4 linked regions of the Cricetulus griseus genome follow. The protein of the gene in region 3 interacts with the protein of the main gene of each other region in a biochemical or structural test. Links are inferred from orthologs where the notes say so. Each region holds a gene or a part of one and is shown on either strand. Other genes may lie near its edges.

What was found.
Region 1: the proteins of Atf3 (region 3) and transcription factor AP-1 form a complex in vitro, tested with the Homo sapiens proteins (2 studies listed by BioGRID and IntAct, with this or other methods). The link is inferred for Cricetulus griseus from reciprocal best matches to the Homo sapiens genes ATF3 and JUN.
Region 2: the proteins of Atf3 (region 3) and transcription factor jun-D form a complex in vitro, tested with the Homo sapiens proteins (2 studies listed by BioGRID and IntAct, with this or other methods). The link is inferred for Cricetulus griseus from reciprocal best matches to the Homo sapiens genes ATF3 and JUND.
Region 4: the proteins of Atf3 (region 3) and Ddit3 form a complex in vitro, tested with the Homo sapiens proteins (2 studies listed by BioGRID and IntAct, with this or other methods). The link is inferred for Cricetulus griseus from reciprocal best matches to the Homo sapiens genes ATF3 and DDIT3.

The regions. Positions count from the first base shown.
Region 1 is NC_048595.1:53,809,626-53,817,228, forward strand, and holds transcription factor AP-1, read left to right. Parts: upstream 1-2,790; 5' UTR 2,791-3,659; intron 3,660-3,776; 5' UTR 3,777-3,880; coding exon 3,881-4,885; 3' UTR 4,886-5,623; downstream 5,624-7,603. UniProt on the Homo sapiens protein: Transcription factor that recognizes and binds to the AP-1 consensus motif 5'-TGA[GC]TCA-3'.
Region 2 is NW_023276806.1:248,304,886-248,312,119, forward strand, and holds transcription factor jun-D, read right to left. Parts: upstream 3,521-7,234; 5' UTR 3,190-3,520; coding exon 2,164-3,189; 3' UTR 1,614-2,163; downstream 1-1,613. UniProt on the Homo sapiens protein: Transcription factor binding AP-1 sites.
Region 3 is NC_048598.1:3,857,711-3,864,652, reverse strand, and holds the end of Atf3 (cyclic AMP-dependent transcription factor ATF-3), read right to left. Parts: intron 4,553-6,942; coding exon 4,445-4,552; intron 3,195-4,444; coding exon 2,997-3,194; 3' UTR 1,769-2,996; downstream 1-1,768.
Region 4 is NW_023276806.1:130,432,435-130,440,161, forward strand, and holds the start of Ddit3 (DNA damage-inducible transcript 3 protein), read right to left. Parts: upstream 4,546-7,727; 5' UTR 4,331-4,545; coding exon 4,291-4,330; intron 2,084-4,290; coding exon 2,036-2,083; intron 1,060-2,035; exon of another isoform or gene 949-1,059; intron 253-948; coding exon 95-252; intron 1-94. UniProt on the Homo sapiens protein: Multifunctional transcription factor in endoplasmic reticulum (ER) stress response. Plays an essential role in the response to a wide variety of cell stresses and induces cell cycle arrest and apoptosis in response to ER stress.

The sequences.
Region 1 (7,603 bases), on a different chromosome or scaffold from region 3:
GCAAAGCCTCTGTCTCTGTCCCATCATATATGCTGAATGGGATCCAGGGGTGGGGCGTGGGGGTGGGGCAGGGTAACTAGCTCTCTATACACTGTCTCTCAAAGCCTGGATGTGAACTTATGCTGTAACTGAAGGGGAATTGGGGTTGATTCCCTTGAAGAAGGAAAGAAGGCAGGAAGGACCCCTTTCAGACCCTCAGTCTCAGGTATGGCCCTGTGACTGACTTTGGCCAGTGGCATATGAGAAAGAAAGGTGCCACTTCCAGGTGGATACACTGAGAGCCAGTCAGAGCTTTGCTGAGTTCCCACTTCAGTCACAACCAGTGAGAAGCAGGACAGTGGACAGAGTTCCCTGCTCAGTCACAATGGGCAAGCAGTGGGAGGGAGCAAGAAACAATAACACACTGACTGAGCCTCTGGGATGATGGGTTTAGGGTAGCATAGCCCAGCCCTTCCCAACTGAGCTTCCAGTGAGATGAGACTAGAGAGCATTGGCTGAAAAACCCCTTCTCCCAGGCAAAGAGGAAGTTCACTGCGGCTGGCAAGCAGAGGCATTGACAAGAGTACATCCTTTTCGCCTTGAATGAAATGTACTATTTCTTAACCTAAGTAGAAAATTAGCCTCCTAAGCAACAGGAGGCAGACTAAGCCTGGGAGTTTCTAAATACAGAAACAAGAGAGCAACTTCTATGGCATCAGCACCACTTCCCAAGCAGATAACCAAGGCTGTGAGGGAAAGTTTGCCAGAGTGGAGAAAATACAAAGGAATGTAACACAGATTTAAGGTCACTTTCCAGCCGTCCGTGTAGCCCAAACAAGATACATGTACTTTCTGGAATTATTTCCTCCTGTGTAAAGTCGAGGTAAAAATGTATGCCTCTCAAGATGGTTGTGGGGAAAAAACAGCATACTTAAACTGCTTGGACTAACTGGTAGATAGTGGGTGTTTAATGGATAAAACTTATTTTTATTACTGTTGTCATAAATCATGGAGAATATGAGCTCCTTGACAAAAACGATTAGGGGAACTCGTTCTCTCTTTGGGAGAAGTAAATGGATCTGGACTTCACAGAAACCTTGCCCTACCCTGCCCCCACAAAGGTCAGTGCTTGGCTGGCAGCAACCAGTTAGTTACCCTCTGCAGCCTGAGTGAAAGCAAAGTGAGCACACGGAGTGAAAAAGAGCTGGCCAGTTTCCCACCGATACCAGCTGCTATTGGGTTCTGAATTCTCAAGGCAAAATATCTTAGGGCTCCAGGATACAAACCCTGGGCTGAGTTCTGAGGCAGCAAAATCCGAATTAGAACCTCCGGACTTAAGGTCCAACTCCAAACCTCAAGTCCTGGGCTGTAAGGAGGCTTGGGGAAGAGCTGGCTAACAGCCCTTTGCTACCTTGCTCACCAGTTCCTGCCAAATCACAGCCCTGTAGCCTGGTACGGCGGGAAGGCCCAGGGGGAATGCCGAGGCCGGCAGGGAAGGGGACAGTGAGTTGACCAGCTTCTAGTACCGGCATCAAGGAAGGTAATACTAACGCCTGGCAGCCCGGTACGGTGGACCTCATCCGCTCTACTTGCAGATGAGGCCAATAAAGCTCAGAGAAGTTCCGAGATTGCAGTTAGGCCATGAGAGAACCGAGCTTGCCACCTCTTTAGTCCTAAGTGGTGGAGAATGGAGGTCGGATAGCAGAACCCTAGGACAAAAACCACTTACATGTGTCTAGCGCTTCCTAGAGGCCACACAGGATATGAATCCACCAGCGGGCGGGGAGGGGAGACTTTAGCCTGCTTCTACCAGGGACTCCCGCTTAGGCAGCGTGACTTTCGGGCGAGTCGGCGGCGGCTCTCAAGACTTGTTTTCCCAGAAGCAAATCAGGAGCTGGGGGGTGGGGGGTAGGGCGGGCGCGGGTTGCGTATGCGCGAGACGCGCCCGGGCAAAGGCGATCGCTGGGGTTTCCTGAGTTTTGAACCCTTAAATGTTGATTTTGACCCCCATGGATGCTGGGGTCGCCCCTTTATTTCACGTCTAGAAAGCGCGTCCCTCTGAGGCAAAGCGAGCCCCTCCCCGCATGTCTCCAGAGGGTGAAGTGTTGTGCCGAGGACCCTGACGAGTCGGTTCTTAGTACCGCAAATCTCTAGCTTCCAGGTAGAGCACACAGCGGCACAGATCCTCCTCTGGAACTTAACCAAGAGATAAACTTCCACGCGTGCTCAACGTGGGAGGGACACTCAAGCCCGTTCAACTTCAACACACTTTCTCGCTCCCGCACCCGGGGCGCACACAACCATCTTCACCCGCGCCGCTGCCTCCCGGAAGTGTGGGGGTGCAGAGCCTGCTGGAGCTCAGGTCGCTCAGCCCCTTCACGTGTGTGCGTGTGTGTGCGTGTGTGTGTGTGCTTGTGTGTGCGTGCGTGCGCGCGCGCCACCTCCACTCCCCACCCAGGCCTTCCGCCCGGGGCCACTAGCGAGCCTCCCCAGCTTTCTGGATGCCGGTGTCTCGATCCCCGTCCCCAACCCTGAACTTGAGCCCGCCTCCGACAGACGCCGCAAGGGTCCAGCCGACCCGGCAGCCTCCGTCACTAGACAGCCAAACCAAGACGTCAGCCCACAATGCACCGGGCGGGCCGGGAAAGACGCGCCGGGGAGGGAACCCGGGAACACAAGCCTGAGCGCCGCGCGGGAGGGGGAGGGAGGAGGAGAAAGAAGGGCCCAACTGTAGGAGCGCAGCGGAGCATTACCTCATCCCGTGAGCCTTCGCGGGCCCAGAGAAGAATCTTCTGGGGTGAGGTCTCCATGGCGACAGGCGGGCCCGCCCCCCTGAGAGCGACGCAGGCCAATGGGAAGGCCTTGGGGTGACATCATGGGCTATTTTTAGGGGTTGACTGGTAGCAGATAAGTGTTGAGCTCAGGCTGGATAAGAAGGACTCAGAGTTGCACTGAGTGTGGCAGAGACGTCCTGGCAGGAACGCGCTCAGACAGAGAGGCAGAGAGAGAGAGCGGGACGGACGGAAGGAAGGACGGACGTTCTCGGCCAATCTGGACGGCCGCGGACTCCGGGCTGCTCATCTGTTTGTCTTCATTTTCTCACCGACTACCTGGACCCAGCGCCCGCGGCTCCAGCACCGGTGTTTTGGGGAGCACTTGGAGAGTCCCTTCTCCCGCCTTCCCCGGAGAAGCAGCTCGCAAGTCCCTGCGCTGCTGACAGCATCGAGAGCGGTGCCTGCCCGAGCGAGGAAATAGGCGAGCGGCTACGCCGACCACCAACTTTCCTGACCCAGAAGACCGGGAACAAGTGGCCCGGAGCGAACTTTTGCAAACCTTTTCAGCGCCTTAGGCTGCCCCCGAGACCGTAAAGAAAGGGGAGAAGAGGAAGAACCCACACTCAGCCCCGCTCGCACAGGCGGCTGAAGTTGGGCGAGCGCTAGCCGCGGCCGCCGAGCGTCCCCCTCCCCCTCACAGCGGAGGAGGGGACAGTTGTCGGAGTCCGGGCGGCGGAGCCCGATCGCGGGCTTCCACCGACAGTTCCGTGACGACTGGTCAGCGCCGCCGGAGAGCTGCTGTCGCTGGAGCTGGTCTGCGGTCTCCGAGGAACTGCTACTACCCGAGAGCGCTCCGCGAGTGACCGCGACTTTTCAAAGCCCGGCAGCGCGCGGGAGCCGACCAACGTGAGTGAAGGCGGTACCTTAACCCTGCGCTCCCTGGAGCGAGCTGGGGAGGAGGGCGCAGGGGGGGAGCACTGCCGACCGGAGCGCGCGCTCTTAGACAAACTTTACTTGTCACAGACGCAGGGACGCGCGGGTGTCCCCCGCTTCCCAGCGCGCTGTTGCGGCCCCGAAACTTCAGCGCGCAGCCCAGACGAACCCCGCGTGAACTGACCGACCGTTCTATGACTGCAAAGATGGAAACGACCTTCTACGACGATGCCCTCAACGCCTCGTTCCTCCAGTCCGAGAGCGGCGCCTACGGCTACAGTAACCCCAAGATCCTGAAACAGAGCATGACCTTGAACCTGGCCGACCCGGTGGGCAACCTGAAGCCGCATCTCCGCGCCAAGAACTCGGACCTCCTCACGTCGCCCGACGTTGGGTTGCTCAAGCTGGCGTCGCCCGAGCTGGAGCGCCTGATCATCCAGTCCAGCAATGGGCACATCACCACCACGCCGACCCCCACCCAGTTCTTGTGCCCCAAGAACGTGACCGACGAGCAGGAGGGTTTCGCCGAGGGCTTCGTGCGCGCCCTGGCCGAACTGCATAGCCAGAACACGCTGCCCAGCGTCACGTCGGCGGCACAGCCGGTCAGCGGTGCGGGCATGGTGGCTCCCGCGGTGGCTTCGGTAGCCGGCGCCAGCGGCGGCGGCGGCTACAGCGCCAGCCTACACAGCGAGCCTCCGGTCTACGCCAACCTCAGCAACTTCAACCCGGGTGCGCTGAGCAGCGGCGGCGGGGCGCCCTCCTACGGCGCGGCCGGGCTGGCCTTTCCGTCGCAGCCCCAGCAGCAGCAGCAGCCGCCTCAGCCGCCGCACCACTTGCCCCAACAGATCCCGGTGCAGCACCCGCGGCTGCAGGCCCTGAAGGAAGAGCCCCAGACCGTGCCCGAGATGCCGGGAGAGACCCCGCCCCTGTCCCCCATCGACATGGAGTCTCAGGAGCGGATCAAGGCGGAGAGGAAGCGCATGAGGAACCGCATCGCCGCCTCCAAGTGCCGGAAAAGGAAGCTGGAGAGGATCGCCCGGCTAGAGGAAAAAGTGAAAACCTTGAAAGCGCAAAACTCGGAGCTGGCGTCCACGGCCAACATGCTCAGGGAACAGGTGGCACAGCTTAAACAGAAAGTCATGAACCACGTTAACAGTGGGTGCCAACTCATGCTAACGCAGCAGTTGCAAACGTTTTGAGGACAGAGTGTCAGGGCTGAGGGGCAATGGAAGAAAAAAAATATAACAAAGACAGACTTGAGAACTTGACTGGTTGCGAAAGAAAAAAAAAAGTGCCCGAGTACCGAAGCCAAGGGTACACGAGATGGACTGGGTTGCGTCCTGACGGCGCCCCCAGTGTGCTGGAGTGGGAAGGACGTGGCGCGCCTTGCCTTGGCATGGAGCCAGAGAGCGGCGGCCTGTTGGCTGCTAGGCTTTGCGATCGGGCTGTGCCCGCGAGACCAGAACGATGGACTTTTCGTTAACATTGACCAAGAACTGCATGGACCTAACATTCGATCTCATTCAGTATTAAAGGGGGGCGGGGAGGGGTTACAAACTGCAATAGAGACTGTAGATTGCTTCTGTAGTGCTCCTTAAGAACACAAAGCAGGGAGGGCTAGGGAGGGGAGGGAGGCTCGTGAGTGCCAGGCTAGACTGCAGATGAACTCCCCTGGCCTGCCTTCCTCAACTGTGTATGTACATATATATTTTTTTTAATTTGATGAAAGCTGATTACTGTCAATAAACAGCTTCCTGCCTTTGTAAGTTATTCCATGTTTGTTTGTTTGGGTGTCCTGCCCAGTGTTGTTTGTAAATAAGAGATTTGAAGCATTCTGAGTTTACCATTTGTAATAAAGTATATAATTTTTTTATGTTTTGTTTCTGAAAATTTCCAGAAAGGATATTTAAGAAAATACAATAAACTATTGAAAAGTAGCCCCCAACCTCTTTGCTGCATTATCCATAGATAATAGTAGCTAGATGGAATAACAGCTGAATGTCAAATTCGCTAGAGTAAAAGCTGTGTTCTCTGTTTGATTGTAGGAATAGATGCCCTGCATGCTATCATAGGGTCATACTCTCTCCCGCAGCAACTCACAAGTCCAGACTGTTGACCAGAAGATGCTATGGTGTTTCTAGAGGCTGGAAAACAGGGATGTTGCAAAGGGAGAGAGAAAGCAGGCACTTCAGTTTAGAGCTATATCAAGTGGCATGTGCTGTGCTCGTTTATAATCATAGAGATTTAGCAATAGATGCTTCTTCTCAAAGCAGAAACCCATGCAAGTTTTTACAGAAGATGTCTCCTTCCAACTTGGAATCTGACAATTCCTAGAGAAAGATGGCCTTTGCTTGTGCATATTTATAACAGCGTTCTTGTCACAATAAATATTCAAATAATGGTTTCAAAAAATCTTGAATTCCTTTCCCTTTGGTACTCTTATTCCTAAACTATATACTGAAGGTTTTCTAAGTTTCTGGGGTTAACATTACTGTATTCTAAACTTAGTAATTTAGAAGCAAAGACTTTAGGAAGAGTCAAACTAAATTGAAGCCTGGGTGATCTTTTCTTCCAACCCTCCCTCCTTCCCTTTTCCCTTTTGCTCCCACTCCCACCCCTCATCTCTCCCCAGTACCAAGGAAGTGACCCATGAAGTGAGTCCATGTTTATTTCTTAGTTTGTTTCAAAATAATCTGTCTGGCTTAAATAATTATAGAGCCAGTCTAGGAAGATGCTATAATAAATGCTATGGGGGCAAATTCACAAGAGAAGTGTGGGCCCAACACTGATTACATCTGTAATGGGCCCAATGCATCCATAATCTAAACCTCAGCTCTGGGGAGACTGAAAACTTGGGTTGTGTCTACAGATACAATAGGTTATCAACAAGTTTGTATTTAACAAGGGAATAGTTTTTGCCTGGTTCCTTTTCTTCCTGTGAGCTGCTGAGATTATCAAGCAGCAAAAGCAATTTGATACCCAGAAACACTTCACCAACCACTAATTGAAGCCTGGCTGTTTGCTCATTAGCAGTGCTCCAGTATTCAACAGGTTCAGGAGTGCCTGTGGTGGTAAATCCAAATACAGTTTCTCAGGAGTACATCTAGGTCTGCAGGGGCTTGGACGGGCTCCATACTTTTTAAACAAAGACTTACTGGGAGCCAAGGCACTTTTGTCAAACAGTAAATTTGCTGGTGTCAGCAACCCGGAAGGTGAGTTGATTTTGACCATATTTAGGAATAGCAAAGGGACAATGAAGCACTTCAGGGTGGGGCTCTGGAAGTTAAACAAGTGCAAAGTAGAAAAGTATACAGGCTGGGAACTGATAGCCTACAGTGCTAGACTAGGCCCAGACAACAACAGCACAATGCAGAAATGCCACGCCACTCATCTGACTAAAAAGGAAAAAAAAAAAAAAAAAAAAAAAAAAAAAGAGTCCTCAAGGTTATCCACATTTGTCCCTTTCAACTAATATTTTGAATTACATTCTTAAAATTCTGACTATTCTAACCCAAAGAGGTAGAAAAAAAATAATGGCAATAGAAGAAATTCAACAATGATATCCAGTAAACTTTAAACAGCAGAAAATCAGCTAATTACTGCACACACAATTCTATTATGAACTTTCAATGTGTTATACTTCAGGCAGCACTCAGGATGAAGCCAGTGGCATATAAAGTCATTAGTCACTTCTTAGTTATATAAATGTATATATGTATTATTAATTGATAAACTATTAACTATTGTGACAGAGGGTTTGTTCAAGCAATAGGGATGTCCACATGGAGATAGTATTATCTTTTATTTTACCCTCTAAGAGCTCTGACCCAAATCAGATGCCACGTGGTCATCATCTGAAGTTTATTTGTCTGAGTCTGGGTCTTGTCATTTTAGATTTCCAAGCTTCTGGTCATATT
Region 2 (7,234 bases), on a different chromosome or scaffold from region 3:
ACCTTGTCTCAAACAACAGGACAAATCTTTGTAAAGACTGAAACTCCATCCAGCACTACAAAAGCAGGGAAACAGAGCCAACTTGGGCATGATGCATGCCAGCACTCCAAAGGCCAAGGGAGAGCTCAGATTCTTACTGTGTTGTGTATGCTGTGTGTGAGATAGGGGGCACACTAATCTCGGTCAATTCTGAAAGGGATGGGGAAGGCAGAACCTAGACCAGGACACTCCCATTTCACAGCATACAAGATAGAGGTCCATAAAGCAAGAGTGTGTGACTATTACAAAGCTATGCTATGCTATGCTACCCAAGCTGGCACTCAGTGTCTGGAGCTCAGGATGGACAAAGCCCTGGGTTCCATCCCCCACTACATAAACACTCAGGAACTCTCAGATCAGGCTGCTTATCACTGGCCTTTGTTTTTCTAGACAGGGTCTCATTCTACAGCCCAAGCTATACAGGACTGAAGAGCTCCCTGCCTCATCCTGGAGAATGCTGGATGACAGGCCAGCATCACCAAGCTGGTCTTACAAAACAGTTCTGCTCAGGATTGACAGGAGGCTTGGAGCAGGGAGAAGAGCAGGAAAGCCCTTCTCTTCTGTAGCCAAGGGGGCAGGTACACAGTGGCTTGAAGAGCAGCCTTCAGACACAGACCCCCCACCCCAGATCTTACCATGTAACTTTAGCACCCATGCTGATACCGAGGGGATCAGAACCTAAGACACAGGGTCTCAACAGCCTGACAGGAAAGTGCACACCTGGGCAGTTGGAGCCCCAGGGTCAATGTCCCTGATAGGCAGTGCCCCTCTCCAAGACAGAGGCTGGGACTGAGTTGGAGAAGACAGTGCCTAATGTGCCCTAGGTCCGAGGTGCTTCATCTCCAGCTTTGCAAATAAAGATTCACAGGGAATGCTGGCATTCAGGAGGCAGAGGCAGGAGAATCTCTCGTCAGTTCCAGGCCTGTTTGGTCTATATATCAAATGCCAGGACAGCCAAGACTATATAGAATGACTGTCTCAAAAAAAAAAGGTGCCGTGTGACTCAAGCCAAGTGCTCAACATCGCTGAAGTTTCCTCAAATGGGAGAACATGCGCTGGGAGAAGGGGCGTGTCAGGAGGGGGATGTTTAAATGCACCTCCATGACTCTAGGCTGCTGGTCTTGGACCAAATGCTCTGGGCCTGAGGTACCCGTGAAACCAACAAAGACAAAAGCTCCTACTGAGGGCCGACTGCAAGCAGCAACTCTCTGTAAGGATGTCACCAGCCTCCCAGACACCCCGATGGAGGCTGAAGATCGGGAGAACCAAGACCCCAAGAAGGCATGCGCTCCTTCCTCCCTCTTTTCCATTTCTTCACCCTCTTCCCAAAAGGATGTACCAGCTAAGTTACATAGGCTAGCCCAGAAGCCCAGTCCGGGTGCCACCTGGACCAGAGCCGACAGCCTGCACCTAGGTGGCGCTCGCCGCGCAGACGTGCAGTCCCGGCCGGCGCCCACGCCTCGCCTGGGAGTGGGGGTGGGTGGAGAGGGGCTGGAGGAGGGGGGGGATGGGAGAAGGCCAGGCCCCGCCCACCACCGGCCCCGGCGGGGGAAGAAGGAGGCGGACAGCCAAGCTGGCGTAACGAAGACTTTACTGAAAACACAAAACGGGCGAACCAAGGATTACGGAACCAGGAATGTGGACTCGTAGCAAAACAAAACCAAACAAGAAGAGAGGGATAGTGTCGAGAGGGAGGGAGAGCGGAGGGGAAGGGGGAGGAGCTTTTTCTTCTTCCCGTTTCTCTAAAAAACCAACACAAGGAAACACACACGCAACACGCAACCAACGTTTGTTCCCGAGTAGAAACATAAATAGGGCGGAATCGGACACTCCCGTTCTCTCTTCCAAAAGGCAAAAAGGAAAAAGAAAAAGGCAGAGCGTGAGGCTGCGCGCCCCTAGGAGCCCCTTCTCGGCGGCACAAAGGGGCTGCCGGGCCGCGGGCTTGTGCAACACGCGCGGGGCTGGGGAAACAGAGGTGGCGCGAGGGCGGGGGCCGTGCGCTCGGGGTCCCCACCCGGAGTGAAGGGGGGGGTCCAGCTTGTCGAGTCCGGGGGCGCCGAGCCTCGGAGGAGTCCGGGGCGCCCACCACCGCAGCGAGTCCGCGCATGCGCCCCGAAGTCAGGCTCAGTACGCGGGGACCTGGTGCTGGGGCAGCAGCTGGCAGCCGCTGTTGACGTGGCTGAGGACTTTCTGTTTGAGCTGCGCCACCTGCTCGCGCAGCAGGCTGGCGGTGGATGCCAGCTCGGTGTTTTGGCTTTTGAGGGTCTTGACTTTCTCCTCCAGGCGCGAGATACGCTCCAGCTTGCGCTTGCGGCACTTGGAGGCGGCGATGCGGTTGCGCAGCCTCTTGCGCTCCGCCTTGATGCGTTCCTGCGTGTCCATGTCGATGGGCGACAGCGGAGGGCTGTCGCCGAAGCTCGGGACGTCCGGCACGGTCTGCGGCTCGTCCTTGAGCGCGGCCAGGCGCGGTGGATGCGGAGGTGGCGGCGGCCCGAGCGCGCCCGGGGGCGGCGGGAAGGGCACTGGCTCCGCGGTGAAGGCCACGGTGGCCGCGCCCCCAGGGGGCCCGGCGCCACCCGCGAAGCTGCTCAGGTTGGCGTAGACGGGGGTCTCGCTGGCTCCGGGAGTGGCTGCCAGGTCCCCGGGCGCGGGGGGCGCGGGGGCCCCAGATGTGGCCGCGGTGGCCGCGCCCAGCTGGCTCTGCTTGTGTAGGTCCTCCAGCGCCTTGACGAAGCCCTCGGCGAACTCCTGCTCCTCGCTGGCCGCCACCTTAGGGTAGAGGAACTGCGTGCTGGTCGGAGTGGTGGTTACCAGCCCGTTGGATTGGATGATCAGCCTCTCGAGCTCTGGCGACGCGAGCTTTAGCAGCCCAAGGTCCGGCGACGCCAGCAGTCCGTCGGGAGCGCCGTCGGGGCGCAGCGCGGAAGGTGCAGTGGCCGACCCGGGCTTCAATCCTGCCGCTCCCTGCTCCGCCAGGCTGAGCGTCAGCGCGTCTTTCTTCAGCATGCTGCTCGTCGGGGGCGCCCCGGGGAACGCGCGGCCCGGGGGCGCGAAGCCACCACCGCCGGGGGCCCCAGCAGTACCGGCGACGTTCGACGCACCCGCAGACAGGCCGCTCAGCGCCTCCTCGCCGTAGAAGGGCGTTTCCATCCCCGCCTCCCCCGCCGCGCTGGGCCCCGGGGCGGGGGGAGTGGCCGCGGCCTCCCCGGGGGGCCCCGTGCGCCCCCCAGTCCGCTGCCCGTGCTGCCCGGCTACGCTGCCGGCCACTCTGCCCCGCGACGCTCGCGCGCACCCTTATAGCCTCGGCCCCCACGATGAGCTCACCGCCCCCGATCGCCATTGGCCCGAGGTGACGTCGTAGATTTGCATAAAGGGGCGGGCCGGGACGCCCTCGCTCCCTGGCTGCCTCGGCCGCTGTTGCCAGGGGCGACGCTCGCTACAAGGCACAACAGCGCGCAGCATTGTGGGTTGACGTCATGGAGGTGGGGCTGAACGCGGCCTGGCCGGGTCGCCACGCCCAGCTTGGAGTGCAGCGCTCTCTCTGTCCTCCCTCCCTCCCTCCCTCCTTCCCCGTTCCGCGCGTTTCTCCTCTCTCCCTCCCTCCATCTGTCTCCCTCTTCTTCCCAGTCATGCCCTTCCTCTCTCCCCTTCTCTCTCTGCCTGTGTCTTTATAGCTCTCCTCTCAGTGTCTCTCCCCTTCTCCTGTGGCGTGATGGGCCGGGCCCCAGGAAACCACGCCCTCTGTGCAGACACGCCCACAGCACACCCCAAAGGAACCACGCCCTCATGGAGGGGGCTGGGCAGCAACCTGGGCGTCTTTTCCCGGGCTGGGGCTGGGGCTGGCAGGCGCGGGGCGGGATGGGGGAGGCAGAGGGGCTCCCTTGCAGAGTCCCCAGAAATTGCTTAAAGTGCCTTGAGTCCTGTCGGTTCACAGAGTGGGGTTCAGAGGCCTGAAACCTGACTTCCTGTCTTTCAGAGGGGAAGCTGAGGGTGGGCTATGTGGCCAGGGCTCTAGGCAGTCGCCAGGTTTTGTGGCTTTTTTTTAATCTCCGTGGGAAAAAAAAAAACCTTGTTTAAATCTTTTGAGTTGTTTTTTGTTTTTTGTTTTTTTTGAGACAGGGTTTCTCTGTGGTTTTGGAGGCTGCCCTGGCACTCGCTCTGTAGACCAGGCTGGCCTCGAACTCACAGAGACCCGCCTGCCTCTGCCTCCCGAGTGCTGGGTTTAAAGGCATGCGCCACCACCGCCCGGCTAAATCTTTATTTTGAGTTGTTTTAAGACATGGTTTCATCCTGTAACCTCAGTCTCCGTGCCTCACCTTCCCAAGTGTTTTAATAACAAGTCTGAGCCACCTTACCTCTGCCTGAAGTTTTACTCTTGTGTGTGTGTGTGTGTGTGTGTGTGTGTGTGTGTGTGTGTGTGTGTGTGTGTGCGCGCGCGCGCCTGCTCGCCCACCTGTGGAGGCCAGAGGACAGCTTGTGGGAGTAGATTCTCTTCCTCCCTGTGATTCTTGGGGTCCTGCTCAGGGTTCTGGGAAGGTTCCTTTGCCCACTGAGCCACACCCATGGCCTGTTTTGGGATGTTTTGAGACAGGATCTCACTCTGTAGGCCAGACTTATCTCCTTGAACATCCAACAATCCTACCTTAGCCTCCTGGGTCCTGGATGATGATGGGCTGTGTTTCAGATATGTGTCTTATTTTGACTGTCTGTACCTTAGCTGACCCAGAACTCAAGGCAAGCCTCTGCCTCTGCTCAGTAGCTGCTGGAATGACAGGCCCAGTCACCTCATCCCAGCATGAGTGCTTGGTCTTGAATTTGCTGTTTTGTGTTTTGAGAGATGGTCTCACTTTACAGCTCTGTCTGGCATGAAATTTACAGAGACAGGGGCCTGGCAAGGGCTGGGGTGTAACCCAGGCTGGCCTCGAACTAGTGGCCATCCCTCTTCCTCGGTTTATCAAGTACTAGAGTGACAACCCGGCCGGCCACCTTACCGTGTCATGAAAGTTTGGGGGTATTTGTGTTTTTTGAGTTTGTTTTGAGCCAGGATCTCCTGCCTCTACTCTGAGTGGGAACGGGTATGCCCCACAAAGCCTGGCTCAGCCCGAGTACTCCCGAATGGAGCCTCTGGACAGCGGTGGTGCTACACACTCTTAGCTCTGACTCTGCCAGGGCCAGGGGTGGGTCCCAAGGTGGAGCTGGAGAAACAAAAATCCAGGCTGGCAATTATCCCCCTTAATTAGTACATTATGCCCTCCAGGACTGATGGGCCGGGCTGGCTGGGAGTGGGGAGCAGACAGCAGCTCCCCTCAGCCTGCCACCCCTCACCATGACCCCCGTCTGACCTGTCACCCACTGGAAGCACCAGGTGGCAGGGCCCAGCTCCTTCGCGCCTCAGGGCCATTGCCTCCATCTGGTGCCACCCCCACGCCCTAGACTTTCACAGTTGTGGCCTCAGGGAGCCCCACACCCAGGTTTCATTCCCTTTTGGAGCTAAAGATTCATCCTGAACGAATGGTGGACTCCTCCCGGCACAGGACTCCTTTTCCTCACACGTGGGGTTTGCGCTTCGCGGGCCAGATCCCAGCCTGGGCCCCCGAGAGGGCTGAGCCAGCCAGCGCTGGCTAGCAGCCAGCGGCCCGGAGCGCCAGTCCCGCCTCTCCCCGGGGCCGGTGCGGAGCTGGGGACGGGAGGCTCCGCCCTGACCTTGGGCCTTGGCCTCGGCAGGTGGGGGATGGGCTGGCCCCTCTGGAGGCAGCGCAGGCTTGAGCTGCTTGGGGACCTTTTCTCTTTCTCCCTCTCTCTCTCCCCTCTCCCCCCCTCTCTCCTCTCTTCCTCCTCTCTCTCTCCTCTCCCTCCCTCTCTCTCGCTCTCTCTTTTGTTTTGTTTTTCCGAGACAGGGTTTCTCTGTGGCTTTGGAGCCTGTCCTGGAACTCACTCTGGAGACCAGGCTGGCCTCAAACTCACAGAGACCCGCCTGCCTCTGCCTCCTGAGTGCTGGGATTAAAGGCGAGCGCCACCACCGCCCGGCTGGTTGGGGGCCTTTCTGTGATCCTGTTTTCTTACCAACCTCGGAGAGCGTTTTGTGGCTAGTGGAGACTGAAGAATAGTAATGGTTGAATGTTTCCTCCTTGTTTTCTGAGACGGGGCTCCCTGTGCGGCCCTGACTGCCCTGCACGGGCTCTGTGGACCAGGCCGGTGTCCCTCTGCCTCCCGAGGCTGCATGGAAGGTGCCCCCCGCCGGGCTGCAGCAGTGTCCTCCCGGTTGTGTGGGTCCTGTGGACTGCACTCGCTAGTCCATCAGCCATTGTCTAATTTTGTTGTTGTTTGGAGAAACTTAAGCAGACGGTCTGGGAGTGCTCTTGGTCTCTGGAAAAAATTGCTACTCAACCTTGAAAACTTGCATCGAGGAGGAGGGGGTCGGCGGGCGGGCTTGGACAAGTCAGTGGAGCCCTGGGCCACGGTAACAACGCCCACTTGGGCCTCTATTTTCGCTTTTCTCTCCCCGGGCAATGCTGGAGGAGGAAGTAGCCTGCCCAGGTGCCACTGCCCAGGCTGGAGACAGCGGCCCCACATGCAACCTAACGTCTCCTGGACCTGGGTTCGAATCCTCAGGCTCTCGGGCGCTTCCCCAGTTCGAAGATAAACTTGATTTTCCTCTGCTTTCAGTCTTTACAGACACCGATCTCAGGGGGCCCCTGGGAGGGGCTGAGGCAGGGGACTGCCCCGGCGTGCGGGCAAGGCCCGGGTGTCTGGACGGGGGGTGGGGGGGCGCATTCCTGAGGGTCGGGTTACCGGGAAGACCGCGGCCTCCCGCAGGCCCCTCCCTCGCTGCTTCCGCCGGCGCCGGGCTGCGACCGCAGGTGTTTGCGCAGCCTCCGCGAAGGGACCACGTCCTGTTTCTGGGTGGCTGCCAGCTCCTTCCAGCCTCATAAAACCTTTTTAAAATGAGGAAATGAAGCGCACCCTCAGCTTCCTCACCGGCCCACTGCCCCTGCCGGACAGACGGAAGACTGGCTGACACTCGGTGCTCTCACGCACCAGGGGGAATCTCTCGCCCAGGCGTGCATTAAAATGCACCTGCTGTCTACCCAGGCCCTGGCTCGGCCACGTTTGGCCTGTCCTGGTGTTTTATTTTGTTTTGTCGCTCCCACGAGGCCTTAGGGACCACGTACTGAGGGGGTGCGGTAGGGGCTGG
Region 3 (6,942 bases):
GTCCTGTGCCATGGACGATGTGCCTTAAGGGAGATGACAGACCCTTCTGGTCATGAGGTGATTTTGGTCCACCATACACTTCCTACCTGGGTTTGCTGCATCCACACAGACCCAAGGAAAAAGATGAATCAGTCATGGACTCACACTTCTAAACCGTGGACCCAAGCACTTTTTTTCTCAGTGTTTCGTGCATGTGTGAGTGGTAAATGCACGTGTGGCAGCCCAAGGTTGGTTTTCTCAGATGCACCCAGATCTGGAGACACGGCTGCTCTGGCTAGTCTGCCTGCTCTGGGGATGGCCCGTCTCTGTCTTTTCAATGTAGAATTACCAGCAAGCCACCATGTCCACCTGGCTTTTACGTGGGTTCTGAACACAGGTCTTTACAATCGTGTGGCAAGAACTTGAACCACTAAGCTGTTTTTCTCTTTAAAAAATGCTTTATTATATTCAGTGTGTGTGTGTGTGTGTGTGTGTGTGTGTGTGTGTGTGGTGTGTGTGGTTGGGGCGGGTGGGTTGGGGGCATGTGCACACCATAGTAACATGTGGTCAGAGGATAACTTGTAGGAGTTCAGTCTCCCCATCGTGTGGGACTGGACTCAGGTCATCAGACTTGGCAGCAAGAGCCTTCACTCACTGAGCCATCTCACCAGCCCACGTTTCTCCATTTGTTTCTCCTCAGGAATTCTGTTATAGTGACAGACAGGTAGCTAACACATGGCATGATGCAGGAAACGTCTAGCCCGTTGTCCTAGTCAGTGAATACTAGCTGTGATTATCATCCATGTTCACCCATGCTTTGCAGCTCAGGGTGAATTTCTTCGAAAGTTTCGAGACAAGATCTCACCATGTAGCCCTGGCTGGCCTGGACCTCACTGTGTAGACTATGCTAGCCTTGACCAGAGACCCACCAGGCAGGTACCACCTAGCTTGACCCTAAGAGCAATGCTTTATGAGACCAGAGGCTTCTGGAGTTTAGAGTCACAACCACCCAGGAGGACAAACGAACCCTCAGTGTGGAAAGCTTGCCTCTTCACAGAATGTTTAAGGATGACTCAGGTCAGGTCCTGAGCCAGAACCTTTCAAACCTTTACTCTGAAGCAGGTGTTGGGACAGATCCCAGGACAACACAAGAGGCAGAGGAACCTGGAGAGGAAGGGAGGCTCTTCCAGGCCACATAGGGCTGCATAGTAAGTTCCAGGCTACCTTGGGCCACATAGTGAGGCTCTCAAAAAACAACAAACCATATTAGTGCCAAACAGTTGGTGTGAAGGGCACATGTAGTGTTTCAGGGTTTGTTGAGGAGAAACTGAGCATCAAGCAGCAGACTGAGGCAAGGGTCAGAAGTCACCCACCTGGGCTAGGTCTCTACAGGCAAATGCACGAATGCACACACCTCTCCCACACAGCATACATGCATACACACACTTAAAAATAAACTGAAGTGGAGAGACGGATCAGCAGTTAACAGCATTCAGTGTTCTTGGAAAGGATCTGGGTTCTATTCCCAGCACCTACATGGCGGCTCACAACCCTCTGCAACACCCTCTCCTGGCCTCCTCAGGCACTGCATGAATGTGGAGCGCAGACACACATGCAGACAAAACACCCATAGACATAAAACATACCCATACCCCAACCACCCTACCTAGTGTTCTTCCTGTGAACAAAGGAAATCTGTCCCCAAATACTCATGCTAATCACCCCATAACAGAGAGGCAGAGTCATTATTTCAACAGAAGACTTAGTAGAAACCAGCATGACACGTACGTTTACCATGTCTTATTTTGATATTTATTATGTCGACAGTCTAGGAATACTGGGATAAATAAGTAATATTTTCTCTCACAGAAAATTGTAATGATACTATTGAGTAAGATTAAACACTCTGAGGATTTCACAGAAACGTCAGAATTTTAACAGTAGCCAGAGTCCTGGTGGCCAGAGGGAGGTGCCTCCCAACTGAAAAGCTCTGGGCCATATCTCAATAACAAAAACAATGCCATTAACATCCCACAACGCAGACACCTGGCCCTGCACACGACTTCAAACACACTTCTCCACAGGCTGTGGTTTCTGGCTGTGACGAAGGGATAATGGAGTATCTCTGGCCCTTCTAGCCTAGAAATCACACCTGCTCTGTCACTGAGTGGGAAGGAGAGTCCTACCCTTTGGAAGCTGGACTTCCTTTGTGCCTTCTTTCTGTGAGATTGCAACGGTTTGCAGCCAAGGAGCTGCTGTCATGCCCAGGTTCTTCCTCAGCAGTGGGTACAGGGAAAGGAGGCGTCCTCTGACAGCACAGAGCGACACAGCTGGCCAGCAGGCCCATTTCGTTCCTGGGGGGCAGGCAAGCTCACATGTCCACCCGAATGCTTTTAAGGGATACTATCCATGATGGCAGACTCCCAAACTCTCAGAAATCAGTTCTGATGAAACTCCCAGAAAAATCATTACAGTGTCGTGCAAGACAAACATCCAAATAGCACAACACAACACCTGGTTCTGAAGTGAATGCCCTGTGCACAGCCATCTGGGATGAAACAGCTTATTTTCTAGAAGCACACCCTGGCCATTGGACAACCTCGACAACGAGTGTTCTTGCTCCGTATTCCCTAGAAGGGATGGTGTCAGCTGCAGTGGCGGCCCTGGTCCCACCCCACCTACCGAGGCGGACACTTCTGCGTGAATCCCATTAGTGGGTGTCCTGCTTTGCATGGGACCCCAGCCGGGGACCAGCTAGATCATCTGAGAATGGTCAGGATGGTAAGGCCTAAATCCTGGAGTTAGTGAGACAAGGGACGCTCTTGCCCTGCGCCACAGTTCACTCCAGGGCAGAGTGGGACAACGCAGTGGTCGCCGCAGGCCCCCCTGCCCCAACGGCTCTCGGCTGCTGAGATGCTAGAAGTGCACAGGAAGCCAGCTTTCCAACGGCTTCAGGGTTTGGGGTGGAAAAGGAGGATTCAATAAGGACTCCCCAGTTGCCCCCATGCCCCTGCCGCTTAGCTCTGCAATGTTCCTTCTTTTATTTGCTGGATAAAGAGGTTCCTCTCATCTTCCGGAGTCCGCCCATTCTGAGCCCGCACGATACACGTGGGTCGGTGCAGGTTGAGCATGTATATCAAGTGCTGTTTCTCATTCTTCAACTCCTCTATTTGGGCCTTCAGCTCAGCGTTCACACTCTCTAGCTTCTCTGACTCCTGAGGGACAATCAAAAGATAGAGGCATTATGGGGGGAGCCAGGGTTGGGGAGGTATGCGAGACCACCTGGAAATCTTGGGGCTCATTGAGCTGGGAGAGGTGTGCTGGGGGAACCATGCACCACAAAAGATAGGAGGTCAGAACTAGGTCAGGGGTGGTGTGGACCCTGCAGAGGTCTCTGAAATTAGGGGACATGTGAGAAGTTTGGGGATACCACTGAGCCAGGCTGCCATGCTTACTGAAGCTGCTGTAGCACCAAGGGCTCAGGGAAGGCTGCTCCAGTCCACTGCCAAGGGCATCTGAGCCCCACAGGGTCTGGGGAGCTGAGGAGAATTTCAAACTGGTGGTGTAGCGTTTTCTCTGAATTTCTGATCTCACCAAGACTCTCAGGTTTTTCACTGACCCTAAAGCAACAAGCAGAGATCCCAGGACTACTGAGGCCAGCTTGTGTCTCTGCCAGAAGCTGGCCTGCACAGACTTGGGGGAGCAGACACGGCCCCTGCAAAGACTTCCAGGCTCTGTGTGTTTTGTTTTGTTTTGTTTTGTTTTTGTGGGGTGACAGCCTGATAGCGTGCTCTCAAAGTGCTGGATAGGCAGGAAGAAGAGACGCAGGGTTCAAACCCAGGCAGGAGCACAGTGTAAGTACTTCCGGGTTAACAGAGCAAGCTGGAGAGGAATAAAAGCTTTTCTTGAGAGTCAGTGGCAGTTAGCAGGGGTTTGTTGTTTTATTTGTAAAACTGGTGTGAATAAAGTCTTTTTAGCCTGAAAGCCTAGAAACTCATGGCGGTGTATGGACCAGTTTGTGCCACATCATGCATGTGGAGGTCAGAGGACAATTCTTGGAGATCCGTCCTCTCCTCCCACAGTGGGTTCTGGGCATCGAACCCAGGTTGCCAGGCTTGCACGGCAAGCTTGCTAGCCCCTGGATACATGAAGGTTTTTTTGTTTGTTTGCTGTTTTTGTTTTTTGAGACAGGGTTTCTCTGTATTGCTTTGGAGGTTGTCCTGGAACTCTGTAGACCAGGCCTGCCTCTGCCTCCCGAGTGCTGGGACTAAAGGCGTGTGCCACCAACACCTGGCAATACTGAAGTTTTTAAATCTACAAATCTTTATTCTATATATCAGAGTCCCCTCCTCCCTCTGCCTACAGCTGGCATTTCTACACCACCCACAACTCCCCTCTGCCAGTGGCACAAGGCTGATGAGGTCAGGAGTGGGCGCTGAGTAGGGGAAGCTCGGCCAGCACTCACTTTCTGTAGGCACTCCGTCTTCTCTTTCTTCTTGTTTCGACACTTCGCAGCTGCAATCTTATTTCTTTCCCGCCGTCTCCTTTTCCTTTCATCTTCCTCAGGTGCCACCTATAAAACCCAAAAGGCCACACTTAAGCCACCATGAGGCCAAAATAGCAAGGCTGTGGGTTTTTTGGTTTGGTGTTTTTTGTTTTTAGTCACTTTTATGTGTATGTTTATTTGTCTGTGTGTGGATCTAGCACATGCACTCAGAGGCCAGAAGAGAGTGTTGGATCCCTGGAGCTGGAGTTACAGGCTGCTGTGAACCAGTGTAGCTGCTAGAATGGGGTGCTGGGACCCCCAGTCTCCTGGAAGAGCAGCAAGTGCGCTTAGCCCCCGAGCCTTTTCTCCAGCATCATGGCCTAGATTTTTGTGTGAACTCCCAACACACACGTGTGTGCGCACACTCTTGAGAATAAATAACAAAATCTAAAGTCAAAATTCTATTCATCAAAATAGAATTACATTTGAAACTAGTAAATTAAAATCTAACCCACTTTAAAATGCATTTGGAGTTTGAAATAAGAATTTTAATCTTAAACTGATTCTCCAAATGGCATCTGTCAACCACTGGATCACAGCTGCAGGGACAGCAGCACTCCTAACATCTCTGTCCTTACCAGGTGCATCAAGGCACACCCTTCTGTGAAGCCTGTGAGCTCCTAGAGAAGACTCCAGACTATTACTGGCACTAAGATGGTATTAGTAAGCCCACAGCTGGATACCAGTGGGGAGTAGAGCACCAAACCACCTGTTGATTCAGCCAACAAGTCACACTGACTTCCTGTTCCTCGTTCTGAGTCAATGCTGGGGCTCTCAGAGAACAGGGCCCTGTCCAGGTCTGGGGAGTGTGGTCCTCCATGGACATCCACCCAGACCCGACTTAGTCTGTGGACCTTTGAGCAATGGCCACATGTAGCTACTCAACTCTGCTGAAGACCACAGTCCAGCATGGTGGGCTGGCCAGTGTCAGACCTCGTCAGCTTCAGGAGGCCACTCCTGACCCTTCCCTAGTCTGCTGGGTCAGAAGACACTGACTGACGGTTGAGATGGAGGTCTCCAAATCTAGAGAAGCAAAACTCACGGGAGAACACTGAGAACACTGGAGGAGGCATTCCTATCTGGCCACAGACCTAGTAAATATAAGAACCACATGCATGCAGACACACACACACACTCACATACATACATACACACATACACCCCACATACATACACACATACACACACACACACACTCACATACATACATACATACATACATACATACATACATACATACACATACCCCCACATACATACACACATACACACACACACTCACATACATACATACATACACACACATACACACCCCTCCACATGCATACATACATACACACACACATATACACACACACATACATACACACACACCACATACATACATACACATACACCCCACATACACACATACATACACACACACACTGTGGGTGAGCAGAGAGATGGCTCAGTGGTTACGAGCGCTTGCTGCTCTTTCAGAGAATTTGGGGTTGATTCCCAGCACCCACATGATGGCGCACAACTGTAACTCTGGTTCCAAGGGACCCAAAAATCCTCTTCTGGCCTCCGTGGGCACCAAGCATGCATACAATGAACATACATTCTTGCACATAAAACACACACGTAAAATAAAAATAAAAATTTAAAAGAATGAATCACAAAAATCAAAGAGCCAGTGAAGAAGGATTACACTGGCAATATGGTAAATTAAAGTTGAGACGACTTTAAAAATAATTTGGATTTTGAAGTAACATTTTGATAATTAAATTGGTTTCTGTAAGTCAGAACTGGAAAAAGACTGTTTTATAAATATGTCCCTTCCCCTAGAGTAGGGAACCTGGGATCATCCATCCATTAGCGGCTCTACCACTGGTCTTCCTCCAGATACTCTCCAACTGCCCTCCCCAGTCCATCCGTCTGTCTAGCCCCCCTCCCCCACTTTTTCCAACTACTGTATCGTGTTATTGCAAACTATGTCATTAGAAAAACAAAGTCTCCCAGAATGTCCCAGGCTCTAACCTGCACTACCCAGTACTGGACATGATACCTGGACTGTTTTGTGGCACCCTCTCTGACCTCCCCTGAGTTAGCTGGGAGCACAGTTAACACCCCCAATGGCATCCATGGCAACAGCATCAGAAATAATGTCTGTCCCCACTCACTGGATGCTATCAGCCAGGCTCCCCTCAGACTTTCCACAAGTGCCAGTCCTTGGCGGGAGACATCAAACAACCATGAAGACCGTCAAGCCATCTCCTTCTACCTCTGGTATAATGGATCAAACCCAAAACCCAAGGTCTTACACTCATCGCTGGGCTACGACCGGGGACCTCAGCCTCCTTTTAAACTCACAGTTTTTGATCAGTTTCACCCTTTGCTCCAGGGCTGCAGTCACACACATTAAGTAAGCTTGC
Region 4 (7,727 bases), on a different chromosome or scaffold from region 3:
TTGTGCTTGAAACAGGCTAGACTCAAATTCATAAGCTAAGGCTGGCCGTGAACTGAGCCTCCTTGCCCATTTTAAGACTAGCACTCTCACTCACCTCTTCATTTCCAAGGGATGAGATATAGGGACCCCCATTTTCATCTGAGGACAGCACCTCCTGCAGATCCTCATACCAGGCTTCCAGCTCCCAGCTGGACACCGTCTCCAAGGCAAAAGGCAGGGACTCAGCTGCCATGTCTGTAGTTGGACTGGGTTCTGGAAAAGAACATACAGGGTAAAGGTTTTCTATTCGTCATGGTTGGCGAACCAATCTCATGCCTGTTTTAAAACTCTGGATTTAAAATTTACTAGACTTGTGGGTCAGGTAGGGGCATGGGCTGTCAATCCTTGGAAGCCACATTGGCAGGTGATGGGTGTGGGTGGAAAACGAACTCCCACAAGGTGTTCTCTGACCTCCACATACACACCATTGCACACAGGCAGCATAGTAAATGAATGTAGGGATGGGAAACAGCTGAGTAACTACAAGTGCCTGCCGCCAACCAAGCCTAGCAATGGGGGCTTGAGTCCACCAGAGTCACCTAGTAGGAAAAAGAACTGACTCCCAGAAACAGTCCAGACCTTCACATGCACACCATGGCTAGCACCCCACAGCACAAAACAAATGTAATTAAAAACAACAACAACCCCCCCTCCCGCCCCCCAAAACTGGAACTGCCAGGCAGGGGTGTTTAATCCCAGCACTCGGGAGGCAGAGGCAGCAGGATCGCTGAGTTTGAGGTCAGCCTGGTCTACATAGTGAGGTCGTATAGCCAGGGCTACACAGGGAAAGGAAAACCAAACTAATAAAACACCCCTAAAATCAGTAAGTATAAATAAAATATTACATAGTAATCTTTCTACAACTTTGTCTCCACAAGAAACCTGTTTTATGTATATGCATATGCTCACATGAGTGCAGTGTCAGTGGGGCCAGAGGCACTCCGGGGTCTCCTGGAGCTGGGTGGAGTTCAGCAGTTGTGAGCCACCTCATGTGGATACTGGAAACCCAGTTCAGGTCCACTGGAAAAGCAAGTGTGCTTCACTCATGAGTTTTCTCTCTAGCCTCTACTTCCATTTTTGTTTTATCATTATTTGTTGTGCTAGGAATTGAACCACAGCCTTGTATATATGCTAATATACCACATTACCAGAACTGAAGAAAACACAAAATACATTGTGTGTGATCTTGGGGATCAATCAAACCTACTGCCTCATCCACAAATACTGAACTATACCACTAGTCCAGCCTAAACATACATTCTTTCTTCAAAGATGCATTTATTTTATTGTGTATTTGTATGTGTGAGTGCCTGCATGTATGTCTGTGCTGTGTGTATTCCTGGTACACAGGGAGGCCAGAAGAGGGGATGGGTTCCCTGGGAACTAGAGTCATAAATAGTTTTAAGCTGCCATGTGGGTGCTGGGAATTGAACCTGGGTCCTCTAAAAGAGTAGTCAGTACTCTTAACCACCGAGCCAACTCTCCAGCTTCCAAGAACATACATTTTATTGAGATAGGATCTTACTATAGATAGCTCAGGCTGGCCTTCAACTTTATGAACCTCCTGCCTCTGCCTCTCAAGTTCTTAGATTATAGGAATGAGCCATTATGCTTGGCTATGCATATATATTCTTACGGGATTATAGTAAAAGTATTCAACTCACTTGGGAACACTGCTGGTGAATTCCAGGAGCAATTACCAAGCCATTTGTGTTCCTTTCTCTTGTGTGGGAAGCTTGGGCAAAAGGTCCTTGGGGTTTGTCTAACCTTGGTGTGGACTGAATCGGAAAGACAAGCCAATTGCCACTGTTGAGGCTGGCTGTGAGAGCCAGCTTTCATTTGGGAAGTGCTCTAAAAATAATGTTATGGTGTCAGAGAAAGACACAGTCTGACAGCAAAAGCTTGTTGAAATCAAATTCTCTCTAACTACTGTCCCAGCAAAGTGACCCTAAGCAGCATTGGGAGTTAACTTTGAGAAGGGGTTGGTGAAGTTTACCTGCTTTCAGGTATGGTGATGTATGAAGATACTCTTCCTTCTGGAACACTGTGGAGAACAGAGATACATGTTTACTGTCTGAAGGGAAAGAAACAGGGTCTTTACCTCTAGCCTTTTATCCTTTGGTCCTTCTCTATTCCCCTCTCGCCCCTTCACAGAGTTTCTCTGTGTAACTCTGGCTATCCTAAAACTAGTTCTGTAGACCAGGCTGATTCTCTCTCTCTCTCTCTCTCTCTCTCTCTCTCTCTCTCTCTCTCTCTCTCTCTCTCACATACACACACACACACACACACACACACACACACACACACACACACACACACACGTGCGCCAATTCCAAGGACAGAGGCAAGCTTGATTTTATTTTTAGTTACTGACATTTGTCCTGATTACATAATAGCAACATCCTAGCCAACTAAGCTTTCTCTAAATTCCAGATAGACCTCAAATCTGCCAGAGTGAGGGCTGCACTACAGGGAAGAGAAAAATATGTGGGTGGCACTTGCTACATATACTCCAATATCATATTGGCCGCTTCTGGTCTAGACCTGTCCTGGGACCTCCAACTCTGTTGTCTACTTGCTATATCACCTTTTGAATGTCTATCAGGCATTTACAACAATCTCCTGCTGGCCTTTCCTTTCCTAGGTTGTATTATTCTAAGTGGCAACTCTACTTGCTTAAATCAAAAAAAAAAAAAAAAAAAAAAAAAAGGTATCCTTGCTTCCTCCTCTCACATCCCCACAACTCAGTATAAAGCAGCACAGGCAGCTTTAATACATTCTTTTTAAGTACCTAAAGCCTGAGTATTTTCTTTCTTTTTTTTTCAAGACAAGGTCCTAGAACTTGCTCTATAGACCAGGCTGGTCTTGAACTCACAGAGATCCACCTGCCTCTGCCTTCCAAGTGCTGGGATTAAAGGTGTGGGTTACTGCCATCCAGCAAGCCTAAGTATTTCTGTTCCCATTATTTCCAAATGGAAATCAATTTACCTCACTTCCCGAAGATTACTGTGGAAGACTCATTCAAGAAATCTCCCATTTCTTTTTTTCTAGACAGAGTCTCACGATGTAGCCATGGCAGTCCTGGAACTCATTATGTAGACCAAATTGGCCTCAAATACACACAGATTTTATTACCTCTGCTTCCTGAGTGCTGGGATTAAGGTGTATGTCACCATGCTCTATCAAGATCTACCATTTCTATTCCTGTCTTTTATTAGTTTAGTTTCATAGTTGGGGGTTGACCATAGGTCCTCTATAAGCTAGGCAAGCAGTCTACCATTGAGCTACATTCCCATCCTTTTATTTTTGTATTCATTTGAGTCAAGGTCTCACTATGTAGTCCTGGCTCCTGAACTCAGAGATTTGCCTGCCCCTGCCTGAGTGTTGGAATCAAATACATATGCCATGACACTGGGCCTTATTTCATTCCTCTACCCAGATCCCTCCAGTGGCTTCCTGTTTACCCCACCCTCTCTCATATTCACTCCCATCCAGCCACTGCCCTATTTTACCAGACATGCTTTATCTTAACCCTTCTGCTCCCACAGTTCCTTCTGGAAAGCTCGTTTACTCTATCTGCATGGCTCACAGGCTTGCCTTCTCTGGATCTTTCACTAAAAACCCCAGTGAGGCAATTCCTAACACCCACAATCCTGAGCACTCTTATTTGTCAGCTCTTGCTTTCTGCAGAAATACAGGCCCAGGCCGAATTGAGATCAGTTTTATCTTTTGCTCCTCATATACTCTGGGTTCTCAAATGCTTGGCACATAGTTGATGTTTATTAAGCATTTGTTAGGAATGAATAGGGAAAAAGCCACTCCCCCAATTTCCCCTACAGAGAATGGAGGGCTAAGCCCAGAGGCAGAGCCGGTGCTGCCTATCTCTGGGGACTGGAGATGCAATATTGCCCTGAGTGTTTCTCTGCAGGGCTGTCCTCTGGGGGAAACTCCCTCGGTTTTCCAGTGTGTGGGGCCTGGCTTTCATCAGCAGTGGAGCCCCAGGCCAGAGGGCGCAGAGATAAACAGTGGGCCGGCCTGACGCAATGGTTACAGAGATTAGTGAGGAGTGGACTGGGGAAAGAGACAGAACTCAATCCTAGGAGCAGCACAAGACCCTGGAGAGAGCCCAAATAATGTCCCACGGTTACAGATCCAGGCTGCTCTCTTGTACAGAAGCCTCCGGGGAAAAGGGGAAAACCCATCTGTGCTCCTCCCACCAGCACCCCGCTAGCAAAGGTCTGTCAGTCTTACGATTCTCTTGAACTTTAGGGTCAGCGACTAAGGTGGCCATGCTGGCCCCCGAGGAGCTTGGGAGAGCCGGGGATAACGAAGCTGTTGGATAAGAGGGGGAAAAGCCAGAGTCCTTTATATGGGGGTGTGTCCTGCTGCCCCGCCTTTCACCGGACAGGCCTAGGATGGCCCGCAGTTCGCCGTACAGAGGAGGAGGATGGATCTCCCGGGGACAACCAGAGTCCCTCTGCCTAACGGCACAGTCTAACTAGGCAGGGGAACGGTGATGCAATCGCCCGTAGGAAGAGGGGTCATGTGAGCGCCACTCCAGGGTCAGGGACTCCCGCCTCCATCCCTCCCTCCGACTACAGGGCCACTTTGGAAGGGGTGGGGCTACATCCTCCAGAGCAGTCGCCCCCAACTTTATGGACTAGCCATGCTGGCGAGAATGGGGAAAGAAGGGGTAGACGGCGTCGGTACTCGCCTCGCTCCTCAGGTCCCGGCTTTTATTTTGGCTCTGTCGCTGCCACCCGTTCATCTTCAACATGATATGACCGAAGTGTGAGACTCAGGCTACTGACCTCTGCAGCGCCGAGAGAAGATATTTTATGCGGGCCCGTCCCCTCTTTTGGGGGCGGGACCCAGGAGCCTGCCAATCAGAAAGCGGCACGCTGGCACTGACTCCGCCCCACCCCTCACATCCGCCACTCAGGAGCCCCCTCGGCCCCGCCTCCGCCCCGCCCTCTGGTTGGAGAGCTACGTTGTCTCGGACCCGGAAGTGGCTTTGGGTCACGAGGCTCCGCGGAGGAGGTGAGTGAGTCATGCACGCGCGCGCGCGCGCGCGCGCGCGGGCGGGCGAAGGAGAGTGCGGCGAGGGAGGGATGACGGGGGGCGGGGATGATGCAATGTTTGGCAACCGGTGTCTGCGCGCGCGCACGCGCAGGGGCCGCCGACGGTGGTGGGAGGCGCGGGTGGGGGGGTGAGAGGGAAGAGGGCGGAGCGCCAGCTCCCAGTATCCAACGGCCCCAACGGCTGTCCTTCCTGAACTTGTCTGCCCAGGAGCTGCGGCTCTGCCCACCCACCTCCCATCACCTCCAACTTGCTCCTCCATCCAGACTCCCAGCTTCCCGGCCCCTCCCAGCTCATGCGCGCCGAGGCCCTGGAACCGCGATAAAGTTTCCATTAGTCCTACCTGGACTGACATCTTCTCCAGCCCTTTAGAAGGGATCTCATCTCTTTTAACCTCCTAACGCTTCCCAGAGGCTGAGGTCCTGGCATTTCCATGGTAGTCCACCCGCTTGTCTCGGGGGAGCACCTTTGGCGTTTGTTTCTGAGTCGCCCACTGCACGCCAGAATTCCTGTTCTTTGTAGCGTGCACCCGAGTCCCACCCCCTACTTATCGCACCCCTGCTCGGCGCCCACCCTTTCTCTTCTCCCTGACCGCAAGTCCTGTGACTCCCTGCTGAGCAGCGGGCCTGTAGGAGTCTGGGGTCATGACCTACAGTAAGGACTGGGACGTGCATGCAGTTGAGCGTATGCCTGCCCTGGACTGCGTTACCGGAGGGAACACAGATTCTACCTTAATTTGTAAATGAAAGAACGAGATTTGGAAGGAAAGACCACTGTGAGGGGGGCAACTTGAACTAAAGTAAAAAACACCTTGCGAAACGTATTTTTTTGTGCCATGAAAACAGAGGCCATGTGGTGGCCTAGCACACACAGTCTGTCATGCACTCAAGAGAGGCAAGCCAGAGTTTCTCTGAGCAGAAACTGCACCAGGACCGGTTGCTATTGGAAGGTGCGACAGTGACAGGTCCTTGGCCAGCCAGACTGCTCCTTTGCTGCAGACCCTCGTCTCCCCTTCTGTTGGCCGGGGTGGGGGTGGGTTGAACCAGATGGTCTCTCCTGGCCTCGAGACGGACCAGGTTGTCAGTGACAGGCAGGGGTCATGTGACTTGACAGGCAGAGGTCGTGTTGTGACATGTTGACCTGGAGAGGCGGGTCAAGTCTCGGCACACTACCCGGGAAGCCTCTGGGGCGGGGCAGGGCAAGTCGCGACTTTCATCTTTTAGGGTTGGCCCCTCCCGGACCTGACATTCCTGGCTCCCCCAACAGATTGTGGCTTCGGAAGGGGCCCCTCCCCAGGGAGGACCGGGATTGGCCACCAGTGGCCTGGGAAGAGGCCCAGATCCTTCCGCGGAGGGCGGGGGGGGGGCGGCGGCCGCGTGGGGTGTTTGTTCTCTGGGGATTAATGGGGGGTTGTGGGGAGGGGTAGGCGCGCTCCCCGCATGCGCACTGCGTCCCTCCTGTTGGCTCGCTGCTGTCCGCTGGGCGGGGGCCCGGCCCCGCCCCTCCCGTCCGGCAGCGGCGGCAGCGGCGGTGCGGCGGGTGGGGGGCGGCGACGACGGGCGGCGGCGGCGGCGGGCGGTAGCAGCCTGCGCGTGCCTTCTGGGGAACGGAATCCCCAGGGCTGCCCCTGGCCCTATGGCGCATGCGCGGGAGGCCGCTCGGTGATCCGCGGCGGCGGCGCGCGGCGGCGGCGGCGCGGCTTCTGCTAAGACCGGCCGGGGCCGTACCGGAGCTCGGGGCTCCCGACCCTCCACCCCCCCCACTCACCCTCGGCCGCGACTGCGCGGGGGGCAGCCGAACGATGGGCGCGGTGAGTGCGGGGCCCGGCCCCCCCCTCCCCTCCCGCTCTCTCCTCCCTTCTGTCCCTACCCTCTGCCCCCTCCGCGTCCGCCCGTCCTCCCGGCCCCTTCCCTCGGCCCCATCCACGGCCCCCCACCCTCACCTGCCCCCGCCGTTTCTCCCTCTCGGTGCCTGACTTGTGCCTTCCTGACCTCCCTCCCTCCGGTGCTTCGCCCACCCTCCACCCGCCCTCTCCCCAAGTTCCTTCCTACTTCGTGCGCCTGCCTTCCCCTCCTCCCCAAGCTGAAGGAAGCAGTCTGGGTGACAGGGCGCCTTGTTATGAGAGGGAAAGTTTGGAAGCCGTCAGTGTGCGATGGGAGCGATGGTGAGGTTGGTGAGGACGCTTGCAGGTCTGAGGGTCGTCCCTGCGTGTCAGAGAATACTTCTTGTTGCTCATTGGAAGCCAGAGGTTGATTATGGATCCCCTTTTCTTCGGCTTGAGGGAGGACCAGGAGCTTCTCGGGATCCTGGAGGAAGGCAGGGCTTTGGTTCCAGCCTCTCTAGAGCTCCAAATGAATTAGATCTGAGATTGTCTGACGGAGTGGTCACGGAAGGAGGGGGGTGTCCGCTGGTACCACCCTGCCAGGCAGTTGGGCAATTGTTTGGTGACCTGTGGGGCAATCTGTACTTTTTATATGATCTTCCTGGGGGAGGGGACAGCAGTGGCCAGACACTGGGAAACTTCCTAGTGGCCTGGCATTATGGGAATTAGCCCACACTACTGTTGAAGTCTTCTGTCCCCTAGACAAAGGGAACTAGTCCTTCATATG